3 linked regions of the Rattus norvegicus genome follow. The protein of the gene in region 2 purifies or fractionates together with the protein of the main gene of each other region. This does not show direct contact. Links are inferred from orthologs where the notes say so. Each region holds a gene or a part of one and is shown on either strand. Other genes may lie near its edges. The genes, in order: Aptx, Lig3 and Tdp1.

Evidence for each region.
Region 1: the proteins of Lig3 (region 2) and Aptx purify together in Homo sapiens (affinity purification with mass spectrometry; 3 studies listed by BioGRID and IntAct, with this or other methods). This does not show direct contact. The link is inferred for Rattus norvegicus from reciprocal best matches to the Homo sapiens genes LIG3 and APTX.
Region 3: the proteins of Lig3 (region 2) and Tdp1 purify together in Homo sapiens (affinity purification with mass spectrometry; 4 studies listed by BioGRID and IntAct, with this or other methods). This does not show direct contact. The link is inferred for Rattus norvegicus from reciprocal best matches to the Homo sapiens genes LIG3 and TDP1.

What each region holds. Positions count from the first base shown.
Region 1 is NC_086023.1:60,613,727-60,621,455, forward strand, and holds the start of Aptx (aprataxin), read right to left. Parts: upstream 5,065-7,729; 5' UTR 4,927-5,064; intron 88-4,926; 5' UTR 7-87; coding exon of another isoform or gene 1-6. UniProt on the Homo sapiens protein: DNA-binding protein involved in single-strand DNA break repair, double-strand DNA break repair and base excision repair.
Region 2 is NC_086028.1:68,226,670-68,233,803, reverse strand, and holds part of Lig3 (DNA ligase 3), read right to left. Parts: intron 6,779-7,134; coding exon 6,623-6,778; intron 5,049-6,622; coding exon 4,917-5,048; intron 4,401-4,916; coding exon 4,321-4,400; intron 3,572-4,320; coding exon 3,484-3,571; intron 3,135-3,483; coding exon of another isoform or gene 3,060-3,134; exon of another isoform or gene 3,032-3,059; coding exon 2,954-3,031; intron 2,720-2,953; coding exon 2,596-2,719; intron 1,686-2,595; coding exon 1,543-1,685; intron 1,218-1,542; coding exon 1,143-1,217; intron 776-1,142; coding exon 629-775; intron 1-628. UniProt on the Homo sapiens protein: Isoform 3 functions as a heterodimer with DNA-repair protein XRCC1 in the nucleus and can correct defective DNA strand-break repair and sister chromatid exchange following treatment with ionizing radiation and alkylating agents.
Region 3 is NC_086024.1:124,914,804-124,921,937, reverse strand, and holds part of Tdp1 (tyrosyl-DNA phosphodiesterase 1), read right to left. Parts: intron 2,944-7,134; coding exon 2,776-2,943; intron 2,336-2,775; coding exon 2,257-2,335; intron 997-2,256; coding exon 811-996; intron 337-810; coding exon 288-336; intron 1-287. UniProt on the Homo sapiens protein: DNA repair enzyme that can remove a variety of covalent adducts from DNA through hydrolysis of a 3'-phosphodiester bond, giving rise to DNA with a free 3' phosphate.

The sequences.
Region 1 (7,729 bases), on a different chromosome or scaffold from region 2:
CAGCATGCAGGCCTTCTGCACGATTGCTGTATTCAGAAATGAAGATCAAAGAAATCATATTCTTAAAGATGAGAATATTGTTACCATCTGCAAAGACAAGAGGATGCAAGGCAGAATGAGCCCGAGGGGCACATCCTCAGGGACTGGTTAGTGTGAGCACATGCAGGCCAAGGAGGTTCGATGCTGCAGATTGGTTCTAATGCTATTTATGTTCATCTGACTCCCAAACTTACATGGGAACCAGCAAATCTGCCTGAAAGACGCTGAGGGTCCCTGCCCCAGTTGGCTTTGATTGGTGAAATAAAGTTGCCTGTGGCCAATACTAGGCAGGAAGACTGAGGCGGGACTTTAGATTTCCCGGGCAAGGAGCAGGAGAAAGAGGAGTTTTTAGAATCACCAGGCCAGGATGCAGAGAGATCAGACTAGAGGGAGCAGGAGAGAAAGCATCCAGTAAGAGTCAGGGAAGTAGCCCCTGGTCAAGGAAGCAGCCCCAGGGGCCACTTCCCCGATTGGGTCTGGGGTAGCAAGAGTGGCCCAGCCTTTGAGCTGCTTAGGGCATATTAAACGTGTGTGTGTGTGTGTGTGTGTGTGTGTGTGTGTGTGTGTGTGTGTGTGTGTGTGTGTGTGTGTTTCTTACATTCGAGAATCTAGAGCATTTTGGCTGGTGGTATCAAGAAGCACACAGTGCAGACAGGGAGTTCAGAGCAGATTAACAATTTACTGCTTCAGTTCAAAGTTCTCTGTCAGTCAGAAAAGGCCTCCAAAACTACCAGGTCAGAGAAGGTCAGAAGGCAAAGGGACTGAGCAGGAAGCACTGAAACAGGCATCTCAGGTTAAAGGGCGCAAGTGGCGGTGCAGACTTCCTCAAGGTGAGCATGAGTCAGGAGAAGGCTGACTTGGCTGCCCCAGATACGCTGCCTCAAGAGTCACTCAAATAAAGGGCAAACTTAAGGAAAGAACACCAGGACGAGAGGCTAAGCTTCAACAGCCAAGATTTACATGTCAGAGTGCGATAAAACAGCAGAAGCCCAGGAATACCTAGCCAACAGTTATGTGTAGGCAGAGGAGTTCAGGAAGCTGGGATCAGAGACTAATCCAGAAGCTGCTATTAAAAGAGACCAGAAAGTCCAAAAGACAATTCAACAGGTCTCCGACAGGAGCTGATATGAAGATAAGCTGTTCATCTAAGATCCTAAACCCAGGCCCAGTGGTGATCCCAGGCAGATCCCATTTAGAATGCTATGTTCCATGGGGCATCCATTGGACCTGCTACAAACTGATGGATAGGCAGGTAAGACAGGAAAGTGAGGCGTCCTCACTGGGTACTGAGAAACAAGTCTTCTGACTGACAAAGAAGCCAGTGGACAGTGCAGCTTCTGAGTAGGAGGAGAGGATTCGATGAACAGCGAGGAACATGGCGAGACAATGGAAACAGCACTCCCTTCTGCCACAAATACAGACACATTCCCTGAAGTTGTCAAGTTGTGATGTTCAGATGCGCTGCTCCCTGGAAAGCCGATGCGGTTACTGCACAATGCTCACGACAAACCTTAAACAGCAGGTTGGCCCATTTGAGCCTCCAGACCCAATTTGTAGGAATTAATAACTGTAGAATAAAAGAACACAGAAGGCTGGTTGTTCCTGAACCTTACCCAGACCCTCCAGTAAAATTCCATAAACTATACGCAAGCATCATGACAGCAGATATCATGCCTACCTTAGCACTGTAATTTCCAGCATTTACCCCTTACCATATAACGAGCCTACAAAAATCAGCAAGCTGTCAATCAATGTTGGCAGATAACTGATCAGATGATAACTCTACCAAAGTTCTCAAGGTTTTCCACCTTCTCTTTACTTCCTTGAGACAGGATCTCACCATGTACCTCGGGCAGGCCTAGAACTTGTTATAAAGACCAGGATGGTTTTAAACTCACAGAGATCCACCTGTCTCTGCCTCCCGAGTGCGTGAGATGAAAGGGGTGCACAAACACACCCAGGTGGGTTCCTCATCTTAAAGTAGAATGCCCCAAAACAGGAGTTCATTGTACCATTCCCTCTCCCTTCTGCAATGACCCATTTGCTGACTACACCACTGGTCATTACTCCCCGATTAATTATGGTTTGCTTGTTTGTTTGTTTTTCTTTTTCCAGACAGGGTTTCTCTGTGTAGCCTTAGCTGTCCTGGAACTAGCTCTGTAGGTAAGGCTGTTCTCGAACTCAGAGATTCATCTGCCTCTGCCTCCTGCTGGGATTAAAGTCATGTACCACCACCACCGCCCTAGGAATCTTAGTTAGGGTTTCCATTGCTATGGAGACCCCATGACCAAACCAACTCTTATAAGGACAACATTTAATTAGGACTGGCTTACAGGTTCAGAGGTCAGCCCATTATTATCAAGATGGGAACACGGCAGCATCCAGGAAGACATAGAGCATTTCACCTCTTGTTCTGAAGGCAGCTAGGAGAAGACTGGCTTCCAGGCAGCTAGGACAAGGGTCTTAAAGCCCACCCCACAGTGACACACCTACTCCAACAAGGCCACACCTCCTACTAGTGCCACTCCCTGGGCCAAGCACAGACAAACCATCGCATTAGGGAACCCAAATGATCTTGGCAAGTGGCGTGCGGCCTGAAATCTATCTTGAAGCACTGTTAGCACTGAGCTTCTGAAGGGCCACTAGCACAAGTATGGAGCTGAATTTCCAATTAATTTAAGCACAAGTGACTGTGGAGACTTGAATTTAAGACTGTCAGCCTCTAATTCCTCAGAGGTTACTTATTTCACAGAACTGGCCCCAGTGGCCATCCTTCTCACTCTTCCCTCCCCAGACATACACGCGGGCACCTTTACACACACAGACATCATCATTCTAAGCATGGTATTCTGATGTTGACTTATCCTTCTCTCCTTCCTAGAGACCCAAATCTTAGATTTCAGGTCCCATCTCCTTGGAGGCCAATGGAGTTGTCATCTTCTCACAGCCTTAGGAACGAACTCCCCTCTGTATCCCCATTCGAGAAACATGGAAGAAAAGTCTTGGAAGACTGCTGCTGGCCTGCTCTTGTATCCCAGGATCCCAGGTGTTCAGCATAACCTATTAAGAACATACTACATGGGGGGCGAGAGGGGGGGAGGGCTGGGGAGATGGCTGAGTGGTTAAGAGCACTGACTGCCTTCCAGAGGAGCCAGGTTCAATTCCCAGCACCCACACGGCAGCTCACAACTGTCTATAGCTCCAGTTCCAAGAGGATCCAACACCCTCTTCTTGCCCCCCATGACCACTGCATGCACATGGTACATGCAGGCAGGCAAAACACTCATACACAAAATAAAAATGTAAAAAAAAAAAAATTAAGACATTCTACACAGTGGGTACTATGCTAAATGTCTCATTTACAAGGTCTCACCTTCACTATGGAAAATTAAGGCACAGACAAGTAAGTACCGTGTCAAGCAACCAAGACTCTGTGCCAGAGTTAGAATTTCAACTCTTTCCAAAGAATGGGTTCTTTTTTTTTTCTTTTTTTTTTCTTTTTTTTTTCTTTTCTTTTTTTTTTCCGGAGCTGGGGACCAAACCCAGGGCCTTGCGCTTGCTAGGCAAGCGCTCTACCACTGAGCTAAATCCCCAACCCCCAAAGAATGGGTTCTTAACTACTACACGATACTGTTTGGGGGCTCACTCACTCAATCTCAATCAAGATTTTTTCATGCCTACTATGTGCTTCATGCTATTCTAGCACTGGGAGTCAAGAGCTAATGCATATGTCCTCCTTTCAAAAGCCTCCAATCTCACAGAAGACCCAGAAATAATTATAATCAGTGGGGTATGATTTGCCTGTAGAAAGAGTATTATAGAAATACAAACCCTTAGTACCCTGTGAAGGAAAGTTTTCTGGAGATGGGATGGGCTTATAAACTTGATTAATTTGGTAGGAGTAGGCAGCCTATCTGAGCAACAAGAACCAGAAACTGGGATTAGGAAGACAATTTCTAGGCAAAGAGAACAACAAAGGCAAACACAGGAAGACATGGCACAGTGCATGGAGAAGCATTAAGTGATAGTGGAACCTAAAACTGAAGGCAGAAGGGACCAGAGACCCCAACAAGCTCCAGATAAAGCCCCATGTGACTGGCTGACAGCTGAAAAATTGTACGTTTCAATAGATTTTGAAATTCAGCAGTCAGTGAATGCTTGCTTAAAGAATAGGAGGTGTGGGGACGACATATCAGCAAACAAGTCACTAACAACCAAGCAGGAATTGGACAAAGATTTCCTTACAAAGATCATCTTGGAAAAAAAAAGTATAAAAACCAAATATGCATTTCTTTCCCACATAAACAATTCTGTAAAAAGATTTCTATGACAGAGGTCTGCAGTCTCAGTATTAAGGAGGCACAGGCAGGATATCCAGAAGTTTGAGGTCATACTACTCTACATACTGTAAACCATCTTGAAAAAAAAAAAAATGTACAAGGCCTGTATCCCATCACTGGGAGGTAGGGACAAGGGGATCAGGAATTTGAGGCCAGCTGGGCTAGTGGGGATGCTGGGACTCTTACGAAATCCCCAATACATATCGACTCCTCCAAAGTATTCTCCATCAATTCCAAATAGATGTAATTTCAAAAGCCCCAGCTTTGTTGAATCAGTCTCTGCACTATATGAAAAAGGCCTTACTGCTTCCGGCATTATTAAGGCCCGCTGAGGACACTGCTAGGGCGCCTCAAGTTACTCTTGGAAGGCGTTTCTGGCAGAAACAGAACAGCCCCGTTGGCACGGACAGTGTCCACTGTTTATCTATAAATCTTTTCAAGCAGATCTTGCAGCCAACTAGGTACAAGAGTCGGATGGGGATGGGGGGCGGGGAGTCAGAGAGGTCGGAACAATGAGGCGGAAACCAAAACTCTGAAACACGCCCACCTGAACAGGACGAAAGGGTGGGGCTTGGTCCACCCAGAAGGAAACCTCGAACTCCACCTTCAAGGTATCCGCTCCGGGTTAGCAGCCCCGGCCAAACGCCCCTGCTGGCTTCTAACCCAACCAGCTACGAAAGCAGGCCGACCACTAGCTTACCTCGACTGCACACTTACAAACCTCCACGCTACTCCGCTGCGCCTCGCCGCTTCCGGTGCTGAAAGATGATGTCACAAACTGCTGCCTAGCAACTGGTGATGATTTCAGAGTTTTTTCCAGAATTGGCCGAAACGTTCTCTTGCCGGATACCCTGGTCGAAAAGTGGTCGTAGCAGCTAGTTGTTTCCCGTGAAGATAACTCCTTTGCCTTCTCTGAGGCATCTAGCTGTCATAGCCTCCCAGGGTCTGAATCCGGAGAGATTTCAGACAGCAATCTCCTGTGGCTTTTCTATGCAGCCAAGTCGTCTCTTAGCACTTCCTCCTCAGGAAGCTTGCTATATGTTAAAGCCATCTTTGAAAGGGAAGGAACGAGGTTGGAGGTAGTGAGACAAATTCATTCTGTAGCCCAAATTGGCCTTGAACTCGCCAGAATCTCCTCTTGCCTTAGATTCCCCAGTGCTAGGATTGCAGGTGCGAGCTACCAAACACAGCTTTGAAGCCATCGGTTAAGCTACAAGCTGGAGTGCTTTACCAACCACTCACGTTCAAATTACACTTTCCTTCTCTAAGGAGAAAAAGACTAAAGAGAGAGACAGAGGAACCCTGCTAAGATTTTTTTTTATGATGTCTTCACTAAATTAACTGAGGGCAATCAGCAAGGCAGGAGGTTGGGATGACATATTTGTACTGATTTTTATTGCAATTCCAGGACGTTCCCTAAAAGTCTTGTATTGTAAATCACCAAAGACTTCTTGGCAGATGAAAGAATTCCTATCTCGTGAGTACATCAGAGTGTAGAATCTGAAACGCAGTAGAAACTGAACCTTTCAGAGTCTTTTTTTTTTGGGGGGGGGGTTGTTTAGAAAACAAGGTTTCACTGTACCCTAGGCTAATCTCAAACTCAAGATTCCCCTTTCCCCTACCTCTGAAATACTAGGATAACAGGCTTTCACCCCCATTCTCAGCTAGGAGCTCTTTTGTTTCTTGGTCAGATGGGTTGCTATTGTTTCCTTCCGTGGAAAAGCGGGCTCCACTAGTCTAATAGAGCTGACAAGACAGGATGGGAGGATGTTCCTGGGAACAAGAGAAAGATGTGCTTTTGTTGGCAGAGAAGATGCGGGTGTATGTTAGGATCAGAGCGGGAAGGGAGGAGGCATCAAAAGCTGTGCAAGCCTCAAGGCTGAGAACTCGGTCCACAACTGCTTAAGATACGGAGGCAGATCTGGTGACCTGACAGTTTACATTTTCCCTCAGGATTAAACATCTTAGCCAAGGCTTCTACGCAGATTCCATTGTGTCTCTTACAGCTAAAAATTAAACCGGGTCATTTGTACAAAATTGGTCAGGGTTTTCATAGGCACTGTATTAGGTCTAATCCATTGTCTGCAGTGCACTGACCAGAAAAACAAGGTTGTCTAGAACAATCCATGGTTAAGGGTAGGCACTTAAGACAATCATTGGGGTTCACATTGTTTGGGGACTAAGCTCCCTGTTTCAGCTTCTCTATGAATTAAACAACTACTAATTTTTGTCTTCCACTATTCTTCTCTTAACTTCCATGGGTTTGACCAGCCTGGAAATAACATTTAAATGAAATCATGAAGTATTGGTTTTTGTAATTAATTTATTTCACTTAGCTTGGTGTCAAGTTTCATCTACAATGTGGCACACGTCAAAAGTTCCTTTTTAAGGCTAATGTTTTTCTTTGGGTTTTATTTTAAATATTCTTTCTTTTTTAATTTATTGATTTTTTTAATGTGTATGGGTGTTTTGCATGCATGTATGTCTGTACACCATGTGTGTACCTGGTGTCTGAGGAGGCCAGCAGAAGGCAGATTCCCTGGAACTGTAGTTATAAGAGACTGTGAGTTGGGAATAGAACCCAGATCTTCTGAAGGAGTAACCAGTGTTCCTACTGACCCATCTAGCCAACCCAACACACATATTATTCTTTCTCATTTTCCTTTTTCCTCCATTTCTTAAAGACAGTGTCAAGGCCTTAAAAGATGGCCTTAAATTTCTGATCCTCCTGCTTCAGTTTGTTGCTGATGTTGTTGTTGTTGTTGTTGTTGTTGTTGTTGTTGTTGTGAGACAGGGCCTCACTATACCTCTGGCTGTCCAGAAACTTTTTATGTAGACCAAACTGGCCTTGAACTCACAAAATAAATTCTGCCTCTTGAGTACTGGGATTAAAGGCAAGCACCACTAAACCCAATTTTGCTTTTGTTTTCCCAAGTGCTGGGACTGTTGGGTTGTTCCTGTCTTTTGACTTTTGTGAATAATGCTACGTTTATGAGCATGGATATTCAAAACATCAAGATCTGCTTTCAGATACTTTGGAAAGCAGGATTGTTGTGTCACATAGTGTGTGTGAGTGTGTGTGTGTGTGTGTGTGTGTGTGTGTGTTCTGAGCAAGTGAAGTGTGTAGGCCAGAAGACTATATATATTAAATGTTGCCCTCACTCCCCACCTTAATTTTTGTTTTGTTTTGTTTCTTTTTGGGTTGGGACTGTTTGTTGTTTGTTTGTTTGTTTGTTTGATTTCTGATACAGGATTTCTTTGTGTAGCCTCGGCTGTCCTGGAACTCTTTGTAGTAGAACAGACTAGCCTCAAACTCACAGAGATCTGCCTGCCTCTACCGTGAATAGAGG
Region 2 (7,134 bases):
ATCTCTCTGTCTCAGCCTCTCTGGTGCTCAGAATATAGGCTCAGATAAACCAGGTTTTTTGTTGTTTTGAAGCAGAGTCTCTGTAGCTCTGTCTAGCCTGAAATTAACTATGTAGATTAGGCTGGCTTTGAACTCAGAGAAACTTTTGATTCTGCCTCCTGAGTGCTGGAATCCTAAAGGTGTGCAATAGTACATTCTACCTAAACACAGTTCTTAAAAAAAAAAAAGTGTATGCCTGTCTGTGCACCATGTAAATGTGTAAATGTCTGGTGCCTACAGAGGCCAGAAGAGGGTACTAGATCTCTGGGACTGAAATTACAGTTGTGAGCTGCAGTGTGAGTGCTGGGAATCAAACAGGGGTCCTCTGGAAGAGCAGCCAGAGCTCTAACCGCTGAGCAATCTCTCCAGCCTCTAAACATCAGCTCTTAGTAAAGTCGAACTATGGAAAGCTAGGCTCTTAGGGGACCTGAGGAAGGGGAGCTGGGGGGAGAGGTATTTTAACTGCTCTCCTGGCTTTGTCCCTGTGGGATGGAGATAATAAGCCAAACGACATGTGAACAGGCCAGATGCCCAACACTCTAAGAGCAAGACAGTAGGTTGATGACTTAGAAAGCCAAAGTGCTGGCACCTTGAGTTGGGGGAGGTTAGTGGCAGATTTCCAGTCCTTGTCATCCCGGATTCGGGTGCATCGAGGAAATCGGATGGAGATCCCATCAGCAGTATGCGCCTCAGATCGAGAGAATTCTGCTCCTGTGATCTCCCACACAGCAGCTTTCTGTCAGGAATAAAACAGGTAGATTATCACTGGCCAAGAAGGAAGTCTCCAGCAGACAAAACAGTGTCAAGCAGGTGAAAGCACAGAGGCTCTCAGTGGCTGCCAGGAGGCCTGTGGGCTAGTTATATACCTCCTCTTGAAACCTGTCTGTTAAGTAGGGTCTGGGCTAGGTCTAGCTCTAGAACAGGCCTCTTTTACAAATGGAAAAGGATTTGCTTCCCCTCCACTAGGGACAGACAAGTCCTCAAGGCTGGTTGGTTAGCCCTGTTTCTATCATTTGCTGAATATGCAAGTCCTATCCTGGGTGGACCTTAGCAAAGCTGGACTAACTTCTGTGGTGGGGCCACAAAGCATCAGGCGATAATACCTTTGGGTCTGGGACGATAAAGTCAGGATAGTAGATCTTGTTGATCTTCAGCCAGCTGGGTATCTTGCTAGGATCCTGAAGGAGAAAAGATGCTGTTTTGGGCTCCTGTCGTGCTGGAACAAGGTTTAAACCTTGTCTTTGGCAGTAACACTGTGAAATGACTTAGCTAAAAAGGATGACCTCTCACCCCAAGTGATCTTCCTTCTTCAGGGAGGCTCTGGCCCATCTTCTATAAGACAGGCTCTCTGAGATTTAAAAGCCTAATCCTGCTCCTATAGCCTAGAAGCAAGCTCCTTTCTGAATTCAGAAACGAGACTTGCAGACCTCAGTCCTCAAAGCACAGCCTGTTTCAGGAAGGATGACTTGTCCAGGGCCAGGGTCAACCAGGCACCTTCCTCACCTTGCTAATCTTCACCATATCTAGCTCTTTCTGCAGGCGGGCAAGTGTGGCATCGTCATGGCCTCCAGCACATTTTGTAACAGTGCACCACTTCTGGCTGTCGGGGTCATAGCAGCCCATGAGGAAGATGGACATCATTCCACCTGGGAGGGGAGACATGAATTGAGTGTGGGCTAGAAGGAACCACCTCTGCCAGCCCATGATAGACTGCTTGAAGATGAGTGAGCTAAGGCCTTACCATCAAGAGTATTCGAGTAATCACACTCAACTTACTGGGCTCTGGGGAACTGGACAGTACCTGACACAGAGCAGATACAACCTGACATACTGCCCAAGTGTTCCTCAGACTTCATCTTTCTCCTCAGTCAAGAAACAGATTTTTTTTCTGAGAAGGAAGCTGTTAGGCCTTAAAACAGCTGGTAGTTGAGTTTCTTTGTGTCAGAACTACAGAGGGTATTCTTGACCAACTTTCTTTTATTATTTTTCTTTTTTCTTTCTTTTTTTTTTTAAGATTTATCTGTTATATATAAATACACTGTCACTGTCTTCAGACACACCAGAAGAGGGCATCAGATCCCATTACAGATGGTTGTGAGCCACCATGTGGTTGCTGGGATTTGAACTTAGGACCTCTGGAAGAGCAGTCAGTGTTCTTAACCACTGAGCCATCTCTCCAGCCCTATTTTTCCCTTATTAAAACATTTTTCTTATTCATTTTCTTTCTGAATGTGTATTTTTGTGCAGCCAGTCATAATCCAGTCTTTATACATGCTACAGTGTGCACGTGGGAGTCAGTTCTCTCCTTTTACCAAGGGGATACCAGTGATCAATTTAGGTCTGAAGGCTTGGGACAGGGCTTTGTACCCACTGAGCTCTCATCAGCTTTTCTTACTCCTGTGTGTAAGACTGAAGCTCCCAGACATCTCTGCCTGATGTGACCAGGGCACTAGATCCCAGGACCAAGGAAGCCATAACTGGCAGATCAAGCTAGTAAGAAGACCAGTGTGTGTGTCTTCTGATAGAGTACCACCCCAGGGACCAAGCACCACTAACCTTTGCTCCCTTGCCCATAGAAGGCCCCAAGAACCACCAGATCAGCTGTATCAGCCATGGCCCCCTCGTTCAAATAGTCTTTCTTAACTTTCAGCCAGTGTCGTTTTCCAGGCTCATATGTACCCTGAGGGGACACAACAAATACATCACAAGATAATACAAACTCCATAGAGGGGGTTCATCTTTCACCACTGTGGGCCAATCTCAGTGTTAGGCACTATAGGACATACAAAGCCATTTTCAGATCCAAGACCAGCCAGCCCCAGTTGAGTGGGCAAGACTCCTACATAGCTCTCCCCGTGTCCCACAACCACCGCCTGTCACCTCCAGCAGAAGACGGGTATAGCTACTACCTTACCTTCACATCCTTTAGCACCAAACCTTCCAGGCCCTCTCGGATCACCCGGTTTATCATGTCAGCCAGGTCTGAAGCTTTCTGAGGGTGGTAGGAGAAATGTGCAGGATCACGTAAGAATAGACTGCTCATGTCTATACACTACTGTGTATAACTTGGAGCTGCTGTGGCTTTGAGAGGCAGGCTGCAGACAAATAGGCAACATAGGCAATGGCCAACAGCAAACTTATCAGCACCCCACCAGAGAATACCTAAGGCTCATCCTCTCACACCCCATGGGGCTCTCTGCTCTCTTTTTCTTTTTCTTTTTTTTTTTTTAAGATTTTATTTATTTTTTATGTATGTGAGTACACACCGTTGCTGTCCCATCGGATCCCATTACAGATGGTTGTGAGCCACCATGTGGTTGCTGGGAATTGAACTCAGGACCTCTAGAAGAGCAGTCAGTGCTCTTAACCACTGAGACATCTCTCCACCCTCTGCTCTGTTTTCAAACCACTTAGATCCCTGCCTAGGATAGGAACTTCACTTACTGTGACTTGCTTCATTTCTGAGAACATGATCCGGTTACGGATTTCAACCATGTTATCATGAAGAAACTTCCGTCGCTCACAGAGAGGCCTAAGGGAAACAGCAAAGTTGAGGTAAAGAGCCTCCCTCCCACTCCAAGCAGGGACTCTGACACAAGACAGTGCCCAGTGACAAAACTGTTGCTTCAGGAAAGGGACAGCTATGGATCCAAGTGCCCATATGAACTGTGCTGTCAAGGGTGGCAAGGACTCCATCAGCACTAGAGATAAACAACTATAAGCAGTAGTCCACAGCCAGATTATAGCAGTGCTCTCTTCTCTACTGAGCCAAGAGAACACCAGTCTCCAGCCCAGACTACTTGAACATTGTTGTGCTATCCCTAGCCCCCAGGCTGGCACAGGCCTCGGGATCCTACCCCATCAAGCCTTTTATAACCATGGTTGTAACTATAGAAACAGGATTAGGGAGAATCCAAGTGCACAAGGACAAGTATCAGCTGTGTAGGTCCAAGCTTTTGGAGGTAGCTCACTCTAGACAGCCAGTTCCCCCTAGATGTTTCACGCATGGCATCCCTGAGAAGCTCATAGATAAAAATGCAAAACTCTTAGCCCTATCCCTGTCACTTTCCTAACTGAAGCCTCTACAGGCCCAACTCAGATAAATTTTCAGTGAAGATAAGGATCTCAGTTGAAACATGGTAGCCAGGAGTAAAATCCAATGGTTGATTATATGTTTAATACATGTAAGGCCCTGGATTTCATCCCCAGTACTGCAAAAAAATGAAAAAAAAAAAAAACAAAAAAAAACCCCAAAACAGGTCAAAATACTAGTTAACTCACCTGTCCATCAAGCTGACATCATTAAAGTAGATACAATCAAAAACAAACAGGCAGACATTAGCATCCTGGAAAGCAGCTTTCTGCAGAGAAAATGAGGCAGGGGGCACATGAGGGCACAAGTAAGGGAGCAGCAGGCCATTTGAAAAGCCCCTCGTGAACAGTTCTGTCAGTGCTCTGCAGGCCACAGAGCACTCTGTAAATGGTGCTCACTAAACTTGAGATCCCAAGTGTTTACCAAAGGCCCAAATGTTGAAGACTTGTTCCTAAGGGTGGTGAAGTAGGGGAGGGACATAAGTCATTAGCTCCAAAAGGGATTGTGGGACTGGCCCCTTCTCTCCATGCTTCTCAGTTCATGATGTAAATGACTTTGCTTGCCACATGTTTAGTGATCTAAAGCTATGGCCCCTGTATTCTCTGACTGCAACCTCTAGATACAAAACCCCTCTCCTTTATAGAATGGTTACCTCTGGTATTTTGTTACAGTGATGAAAGAACACATGCCCAATAAAATCCAACTCAAGTCTAAATTGGTTCTCAAATCTCCCCTTTGTCAGACTGACAGCACAAGTTTTGCACATAGGACTCTTAGGGTATACCTTGTGTACTCCCAGGGTCCCAAAGGGCAGTGGTTTGCCTGTGTTGTTATCAATCAGGAGCACTTCAGAGTCCAAGATCATGCTTTGACCCCCAGGAAACGCTTTGGGAATATAGTCCTTAAAGTGGGCCACCTAGAAGCAGAAAGGCAACTTTGGCAAGGCTGACTTGGCAATAAGACCTAAAACTAAGTCACGGTGATCAAGGCTCAAACAGCACAGAGAACCTTGCCATCCCAAGCAATGAGTGAAATGAACAGCTAGGTTGTGTCGGTCTCCCAAAGAGTACCAGGCTATCTGCTTTATTGCCTCTGTCTAGATCCAGAAAATGGTCAGCCCACTGAGTCATTTTCTATGGGTTATACAGAAGGCTTGGAGGAAAAGGAAGAACAGTGAGTTGGTCAGGAAGGACCTGGAGGTAGACAAATATGAGTGGGAAGGAAAGAGACGGGCAGGTGGGGACTAGTGTCCATTACAGAGGATTGGTGTCATCAGGCTGAGGACTGGGATGTGGAAATAGATGGGTTGCAGGGCAGACAAATAAAGCCTTGGGAAGAGCAAGGAATGAGAACAGGCCTTCCCCTAAGTGGGAGCTCTGAAGCCCCTGCTGTCTTCAGAGTATAAGCATGAGGACAGGATTTTTCCTAACAGAGCCAGAGCTCTAATTTCTGATACTCTGTGGGAGAAGTCCCATTATAATTCCAGGTATTTCCTGACAAAAGGTACCAGGAGTGGGGTCTGGAGGGCTTCACAATTCCTCTGCTGAGAGCAGCTGAGTCACTTCCTAAGGTATGGAATAGGATGAGGAAAGACCTGGCTGACCATCCTTACTCCCTTCCATCCCTACTCCCTTCTATTCCCAACTGAGCCCTTCAAGAACTGAAAGGCACAGACTGATGACATATTTAGTGTACAGCCCTTGCCTAGTCTGTTAAACCCTGATTCAATCCACAATATTTGGGAAAGTAAAGAAAGCATATTCTGGAATGCTGTGTTCAAATGTTCCTGGGTCACAAGAGGGATTGTCTAACACCATCCTTATCACAGCAGTTCCTGATCAGTTTCCAGTATACCTGGAACAAGAATCTCATTACAGGACCACTGCTCAGCTCTCTTGCTCAACACATAAGTGCCCAGCCACCTTGTCTCTACTAGACCACACAATACATCCCCCAGTATACTGACTCTGAGAACTAGGAAAGAAGGGAATCCCATTTACTCACAAGCTACTGGAGCCAGCTACTTCGGCTGGTTCTCTTCCACAGACCTCATAGGACTGGCCCTGGAAGCTGAGAAGGGCTGAGGAATGAGGCTCTTAATTCCCATCAGTTCTGAGCACGACAGGGATCAGCATCCCAGACAGCCCCACAATACTGTGCACTTATCAACTCTAAGCCTCATGAAGGTCAGAATTTTTACCTATTGTTTGTACTTGAGTAAGTCTACTAGCTACTACAGTTTACAGCATTTGAGAAATACTTGTTGAGCGAACTAATAAATGATAATCCAACCTTTCCTAGATTAGATCCCTAATCTAGCCCAGAAGAAGCACAGCCCTTCATTACTAGAAGAGTGCAGGAATAAATTCCCTCCATTCATTTACAGAAAAAATGAATTTCCCTCTGTGAAACACAGCTAGAAAGGCCTTGCCTGCAGTTCTGGCCGTTTTTAGAGACAGGGAGGAGACGTCCTGGCTGAATGGGTATTACCTTGTGAGGCAAGACAGGCTTGAGACTGCGGCTGAAGTAGCTGAAATGGTCTCCCTTCTTATGCACCTGGACTCGCTCACCATCGTACTTGATCTCAGAGAACATGCCATTGGGACACTTCTTCATTGCATACTCAATGGACTTGCAGGCCTCAGCCTTGGGATGGAGAAAGCAAATGTTAGAGCCCTTCAACAGGGGCTCCTCAGCCGGGCCTGGAGCTGGGATTGTCAGGACAGAATTGGGTTCTGGAAGTGACCCAGGACAGATTACTGAGGGGGTGATGTATTGCGAAGGGCTGGACAATGCTGTACTCTGATAATAACATCATCAGCTGATGTCCTGAGCTACATGGCAAGACTGTCTCAAACAAACAAACAAACAAACACTCATCACCAAATTTGGTCTAACAGTTTACATTTTAAAAAAGACAAATGCTGTTAATTCTACAATAAAATTCTTCTAAAGTAAGATTTTTTTTTTTTTTTAGTAATGTAGGCTCTTACCAGACACCT
Region 3 (7,134 bases), on a different chromosome or scaffold from region 2:
TGGATATCTTGTCTCGACAACAGGCAAGCGAGACACTTTAGGAGTGAAACTTAGGCAAAGACTGCATACGGTTGCTATGAGGGAGAAACTGTGAACTGTCATGTCTGGAACCCTGCGGAGTCCAACAATACTGGTTTCATTAGCTTCACCTGAATAATAGAAAACCACTCTACATTTCTAACCATTCGGGTGAACACAACACAAAACAACAACAAAACAAAACAAAACACGCCCCAAGGCATGTTGGGAATATACAGAGAACCACAACTAAGTCCCCAAGCAGTTACCAGGATATCCTTCTAAGCTGGTCCGCACATTTTCCACAGAGGGATAGATCTAAAAATAAGCAAGAAAAGACAAAAACAAGAAAACTTGGTGTGAATCATGTTGAAAGAAAGAAATGTTGACTAGCTTTTAAGAAAATGGAAATTTTAATGAAAGATGTTAAACCAAAATACTTAGGAATCATATCTTAAAAGAAAATCCCCATCTTACTGAAAAAAAAAAAAACAACTAAACTGGTAACTAAGCTCCTGGGAGAATATAAATAACTGATGAGAAATTACACTTTAAGTGTTTTTCCTCTGACTTGCCGCATTAATATCAAATTAAATGTAAAATCAATCATCTCGACATAATTGACAGAGCTTCGTCAGCTGCAGTGGTGGACCTAGTGGTTCTTACCTTAGCTTAACGACTGGGAAGAAAGAATGGAAAAGCAAGTCTGTGGCTGTTTGAGGGGCCATCCCCCGCACCGTCACCCGCTATGGTCTATGACAGGGAAGACTGTCTTGGAGCAAGAGGGCTCACCAGATGAAGAGGAACTGCGCTTCTGCCCGGGGTCCGGCCTTCCTCTCTCACTGCCAGCAAGCTCTCTTTAAACTCTGAGCACAACCACTTGGATTCATCAGGCCCCAGGGAGCCAATGCTTGAAAACTGACCCACGACGGGCCAGCACTCGCCCCTGGGTGCAGATGGCGCATGCGCCTGCAGAAGCTGCTCCGGAAGAAAGGCAAGGACAGCAGTCAGAGTGTGGACAGGGATAACTGAAACGCCTACAACACGGGCTGCGCCCTCGGGCGCCGAGCTTACGAGGAAACCCTGGAAGTACTAGCCATCCACATCATGTCTGCAGAAATGGTCTTTCTTCTTTGAAAACGGTTTTTTAAATACTAAAAATATGTTTGTTTGTTTGTTTTTTTTAAACCCACTATGTGGACAGGAAAAGTCTCTTTCTAAAAGTAATTGATTTGCATTACATACAAAAGCAGAATAAATCACTTTAAAAGACCTATCTTGGCAGAAATATCAAGATGAACCCACCCTGAAATCATAATCATCTAATATCCATAAAGTAAACCAGCACGACGAAACCACTGTGGTTCTGGCTCGTTCCTTCTGAGAGAAGCATATCCCTCAGCATGGCATGCACTCCAGGGCTGGGGCGTGCCCTCACAGCGGAAGGCAGGAGCCTAGCATGTGCAAGGGCTCAAGGAAGCAGGGGGAGTAAAGACAAAATCCCTGGCCTCCAGAGTGCCTGCCTAATATGGACGGGATATTTACATATGGAAATGAGCCCCTAAAGCACTGCAGAAGGTTGATCCCCATTTCCTGCCTCGACACTTAGGCAAACTGAGAAATAACAGTAGTATTTGGAAAGTATTTTACTCACTTAGGCATGCACAGCGAGAGGAATGCGGCAGCCCCTGCCCCAGTGGAACTCAGTCTCACTGAGGCTATTTCCACTTTGGTAGGCATTGCCTTCTTTCCCACAGCTTAGGCCTTAATATTTACACACAGGCACACATGCACAAATTTCACAATTTCCACCAGCTGCATCGTGCTGTAGGAAACAGAAGTAAACTGACAGCTCTCAGACCCAGTCTCTACTGTGGGCTCAGCTCCTGAGAAATGCTGAGATCTGACAAAAGCCCTGTGTTACGTGGCTTGAAAACTGCAGATCCTGCTGAACGTGCAGGATTTGTGGTTACGCAAATGCATTCTATTATCTAGGCTGGACACCATTAGTCCACACGTTCCCCTGCTTCCAGAACACTCTATTTTACATCACTACCAGATGCAATTCTGTCCATTTTACAGATGACAAGAGGGAGGCTGAAGAACAAGTCAAGACCACAAGGCTTGTATATCACAGGTTGAGATTTGAATCTGGGGTGGGGATCCATCATAAATTAAAAGGGAGAAAGAATACACATTAAATTATTTTAAATGTTAAAATACTAAAAGTTTTATTACCTTTCTAAGTCTAAAATGTCCCCAATTATCTTTGTGACTTCCTTGAAAGCGTCCAGGGGTTGAACCAATAAGGTAAACACTAAATAAAGTAAGATACAGTAAATAATATGCAAGTTGTGCTTTGACACCCCAAACCCACAATTCACATAAAAACTAACATAACAGAAGAGGTCAAGAAGCCAAGTCACTGTTGGGGCAGGCCTCCTGCACAGTGACTGTTACTCTGAAGTTTATTTTTAGCTAAACCAGTTAAGAGCGGGACACTAGCAGTAAGGTTCCCGGTGAAGAATCCAGTGACTCGACAATCTCCCCAGTGGGAGCGTAAGGCCCACTACCACCTTGATGCCCAGGAACCATGAGACACAGTGTGAACAGATTTGCTCTCACCCCCTCACCCTCTCTTGCAGCACAAATATCACCCCACCCCTTCCTTCCCAAGGCCTCTCTCTGTCTTCCAGGCTTGTGTAGCTTGCAAGCCAGGAGTCCCTTTTCGATCCCGTACTGGAAGGAGACACATACTTGGTTTCAGAGAGATCGTGTTCTTGGATGATGTCTATCCATTCCTGGAGAGGGGGGGCATTATACGCCATCAAATAACTGGTGAGGTCCGCTTTGAAATGGGTGCTTGACTCTCCGGATGTGTGGTTTCCCTGGTAAATTCGTGGGTACAAAGGGCTCAACCATATTCTGGAATGGGAAAAAAGTTAACACTCAGGAGCTCTGATTGCAACACCACCCCTGTACTGATTATGCATTCACCCAAAGCAAGAGGTAAATTCTTGTCACTGTCTTTAAGTGGTGACGGAGTGGTTTCTGGCGGGAGGAACCAGATCTGATCACAGTGATCCAATACCCCCATCATAGAATTATTTCTGAATGCTGTCTCTTTATGTAAAACCATGTCCTTATCAGTGTAGTGCTTCAGCCAAATTAAGAATCAAAAGCTATCTATACCAAGAAAAATATATATGCAAGTTTATTTTAAGTAAGAAAACTTTTTTTATAGTGAACACTCTGTAGTGGTTTAAGATATTTCCATACCCTGTACTTTCTGATGCCTGGAACATGTAACACATTTAACATCAGCCTCAAAAGGTTAAGCTGTAACAGTGATGAAACGTTACATCTTCCTTCTGATCAATTCCTTTCCCCAAAGAAACAATGCATTTGCCCTAACTTCGACAACATACCCACAAATTGGAAATAACCATGTTTAAACCCAAAAGATACAATACAGTATGACACAGATAGATTACAAAAACACTGTGGTTTTTGAGCCTCTAGGACTAAAGGTTCTTCTAGGGCGAAACCAGATTAAGAGTTCAGCCTCAAAGGGCTGTCGCCAGGACCTGTAAGAGGCAATGGTTGGTTGTGTCAGGCCCCAGACTGTATTTGCTGTCACTGTCTTTCACTTCCATAGCTAATTCCCCAGTAGTTCTTCCCACCAACACCAAACAGAAATGGCCTGATTCTTCTTTCACACAGCTGCTCTCCGTGGATGCTGATGAGCTTTGGGCTACTAGGATGCTAGGTGGCTGAATGTGAACGCTTGGCTGTACATCTGAAGCCTATGCCTTCCCCACAGAGTGACATTTCATTCACCCCTGCTTATCTCAGGAGGAACTTAGTATAGGACAGACAGGTCTGCCTAAGGTGGGAGCCCACATCTGGACCACATCTGTGTCTAGCTGGTTTTGCCATTGAAGTCAGACTTTTCTGGAACTTTCTTTGCCAGGAAAGTGACCAGCTAGGCTAGATGTGTGAGGTATCCTCCCATCGATCCCTCAGAGCCAAAGAGCAAATGGCTCACTACGGGTATGTTTTGGATAAAAACCATGATGGGAAATAACTTCCTAACTAGACTACTAAGATAGGAGGCACGTTTTAATACTTTGTGAAGAGATATGAGAACACTACGGTGGGATGAATAATGTGGAACGTACATTTATTAGTTTGAAGTGTGTGTGCACCTGAATATAGGTATGTGTACCACATGCATACGGGTGCCCAGAGGACAGCGGAGGACATCCGATCCCGTGGACCTGGACTTTCAGACAGTCGTGAACTGCCTGAGGTGGCTGCTAGGATATGCCAATCTGGCACTTCTGCAAGAGCAGCAAGTGCTCTTAACTGCTGCTGCAACTCTCGACCCCAGCAGCTGTGACAAGGGTTCAAGTCACAGCTGAGATGGACAGCTGAACACCGACACCGGAGGGGCAAGCACGGCTAAGGCAAACCACCAAGGGGGACTGCAATGAGTGTCTGTAAAGGTTTTTTTCTTTTAAAGATTTTTAAAAATTTCATGTCTCTGAGCATTTGCATGTGTGTATGTGCACCGTGTGTGCAGGTACCTACAAAGGCCAGGGAGGATGTTGGATCCCCTGGAACTGGCAAGAGAATTCAGATGGTGTGAGACATCTACGGGAGCTGGGAACCAGACCTAGGTCTTCTGCAAGAAGAGTGAGTAGCAGGCGCTCTCTACTATTCAGCCATCTTTAGGGTTTCAGGGTTTTTCTGCTGTTTCTTTAACCTCAGTGTGAAACTGCAAAGTATCAGAATCAAGAGCAGACAAGCAGAGGGCAACAGGCTTTGTATGAAGGTGCCCGGCAGAGGCAAGATGGAGGGAAATTTCCTATCTACTTTGAGTTTGAACTATACAATCTAGGAAATATGCTTTTAGATTCTTTTTTAAAGAAAGGAATAAAGTGCCAGCCACACCCCCACTTCTCCTACCCTCCCTCATGGCATCAGTTGAGAAGCCGCAGGAAGCGCTGTTGCCCGTAAGTTCAAGTTCACAAGTCCAGAACGAGCTGTAGGCACTAGCGAGGTTCTGAGAGGCACCTGCGACTGGGGGGTCACCTTTATAAATCTGGTTTCATAATCCCTGTTTCCCCATGAACACACTTAACTAAATTCCACACCCTTTTCAGACAAGGCTAAGTAGGATTGATTCCCCAGGCTCAGTCGGCAGCTCAGAGAGGTCTGGGCTTGCGATCTCCCTGGGCACTGGGCAGAATGGACAAAAGACTCAGCAGATCAAGAAAGTCCTGGGGGTTGGGGATTTAGCTCAGTGGTAGAGCGCTTGCCTAGGAAGTGCAGGGCCCTGGGTTCGGTCCCCGGCTCCAAAAAAAAAGAACCAAAAAAAAAAAAAAAAAAAAAAAAAAAAAAAAAAAAAAAAAAAGAAAGAAAGAAAATCCTGTTAGTCAGCACTTGGAAGGTAAAGCAAGACCAGCTTGGGCTAAACAGCCACATAGTGAATTCCCAGCCAGCATGAGATACACAAAAGATTCTATCTAAAATTAAGAAACAGAGGGGTGTGTGTGTGTGTGTGTGTGTGTGTGTGTGTGTGTGTGTGTTGTGGGTGGAGGAGGGTAGCTGAGGGGATGTGGTGGCGCAAGTCCTGTGGCCAAGGCTTCTAAGAGACAGGGCAGAGACCCCTTTGATGCTGCAGGAGTCGGACTGGCACTATCCTGAGAAGCATGGCTTAAGAGGGAGGAACGGGAAACTTTGAACCCACACTAAGTCAAAGCAGGCCCAGAGGACGAGCTGGAAGGTCCCTCACTTCAGCTCACCCGTGGGGTGGTGAGGCTCAGGAGCTTGTCAGAGTGAGCCTGTGTAGGCGACACTGGAGATGAGAGCAGGGAGAGCAGCAGCAAAGCACACTGGGAACCTGCAATGGAGCTATGCAATGCCTGCATGTTCTACGAGGGAGAAGGCCTTAGCCAGTGCTCTCCCAGGAAGGCAGGGATATACAGAAATGGCTTCAATGAAAGAAAAACAAGTAAAGCTCTTAACCAAGGAGGAGAGAGGTAGCTGAATTTGAGTTGGACACATCCCTAAAAATTCTTCTTAAAAAACAAACCCTTCAGCTGGTGAAATGGCTCAGTGGGGCTGGGGAGAGGACATAACGGTTACTGAACTTGTCCAAGTGTGAGGACCTCCCTCTGGATCTTCAGAATCCAGGTAACACCAGGCAAGGTGACTTACAACCATAGTCCTAGTGCTCCTATGGCAGGACGGGAGGTGGGGACAGGACACTCTCCAGATGCTTGTGTGCCGGCTAGCCTGGTGTACACGTGCCTGTGTCAGCCAGCCTGGTGTACACATGCTTGTGTGTCAGCTAGACTAGTGTACATGTGTTTGTGTGTCAGCTAGACTAGTGTACACGTGTTTGTGTGTCAGCTAGGCTGGTGTACATGTGCTTGTGTATCAGCCAGCCTGGTGTACACATGTTTGTGTGTCAGCCAGCCTGGTGTACACGTGTTTGTGTGTCAGCCAGCCTGGTGTACACAGCAGCATTGAACAAGGGTGAAGCTGAGGACTAGCACTCTAGGTTGTCATCTGATCTAGTGCATGGTGGCACATGTGTGCCTATACGTACACAACATGCATGCCGTGATTAAACAAAGACACCAAAACCTACTTCTCTACCCAGCCCTCCCAGCCCAGTATATGGTCTTACTCCCATGAATACACAGGTGGCACTAGGGGAACACAGGGGGGCTTTAAAAATAAATAGAGCAAGTGAAGTTGAGAGGGGGCAGATGGGAGGAGCTAAGGGGTAGATGTGATAAAAAACAAACAAACAAACCCCCAAATAAACACATTATATGCATGTGTGAAATTCTCAAACAATAAAAGGTGTTAATAAATACATTTTACAAAACACGTGCACGTAAATATTTCTGTACCCGTAGATAGTTACGGATGACTGCACCAGGCTGAGAACACTGGCTACTTCAAGAGAGTAGGATGGAGGCCAGAGTGGCAGAGGTTTGTGGGGATGGAGGTGCTGCTCAGGTAGGGCACTCGCTGTGCACTGCGAAGAACCATGACTGCTTCTGGTATGCCTCTTTCCTACACACACGCGCATTACTT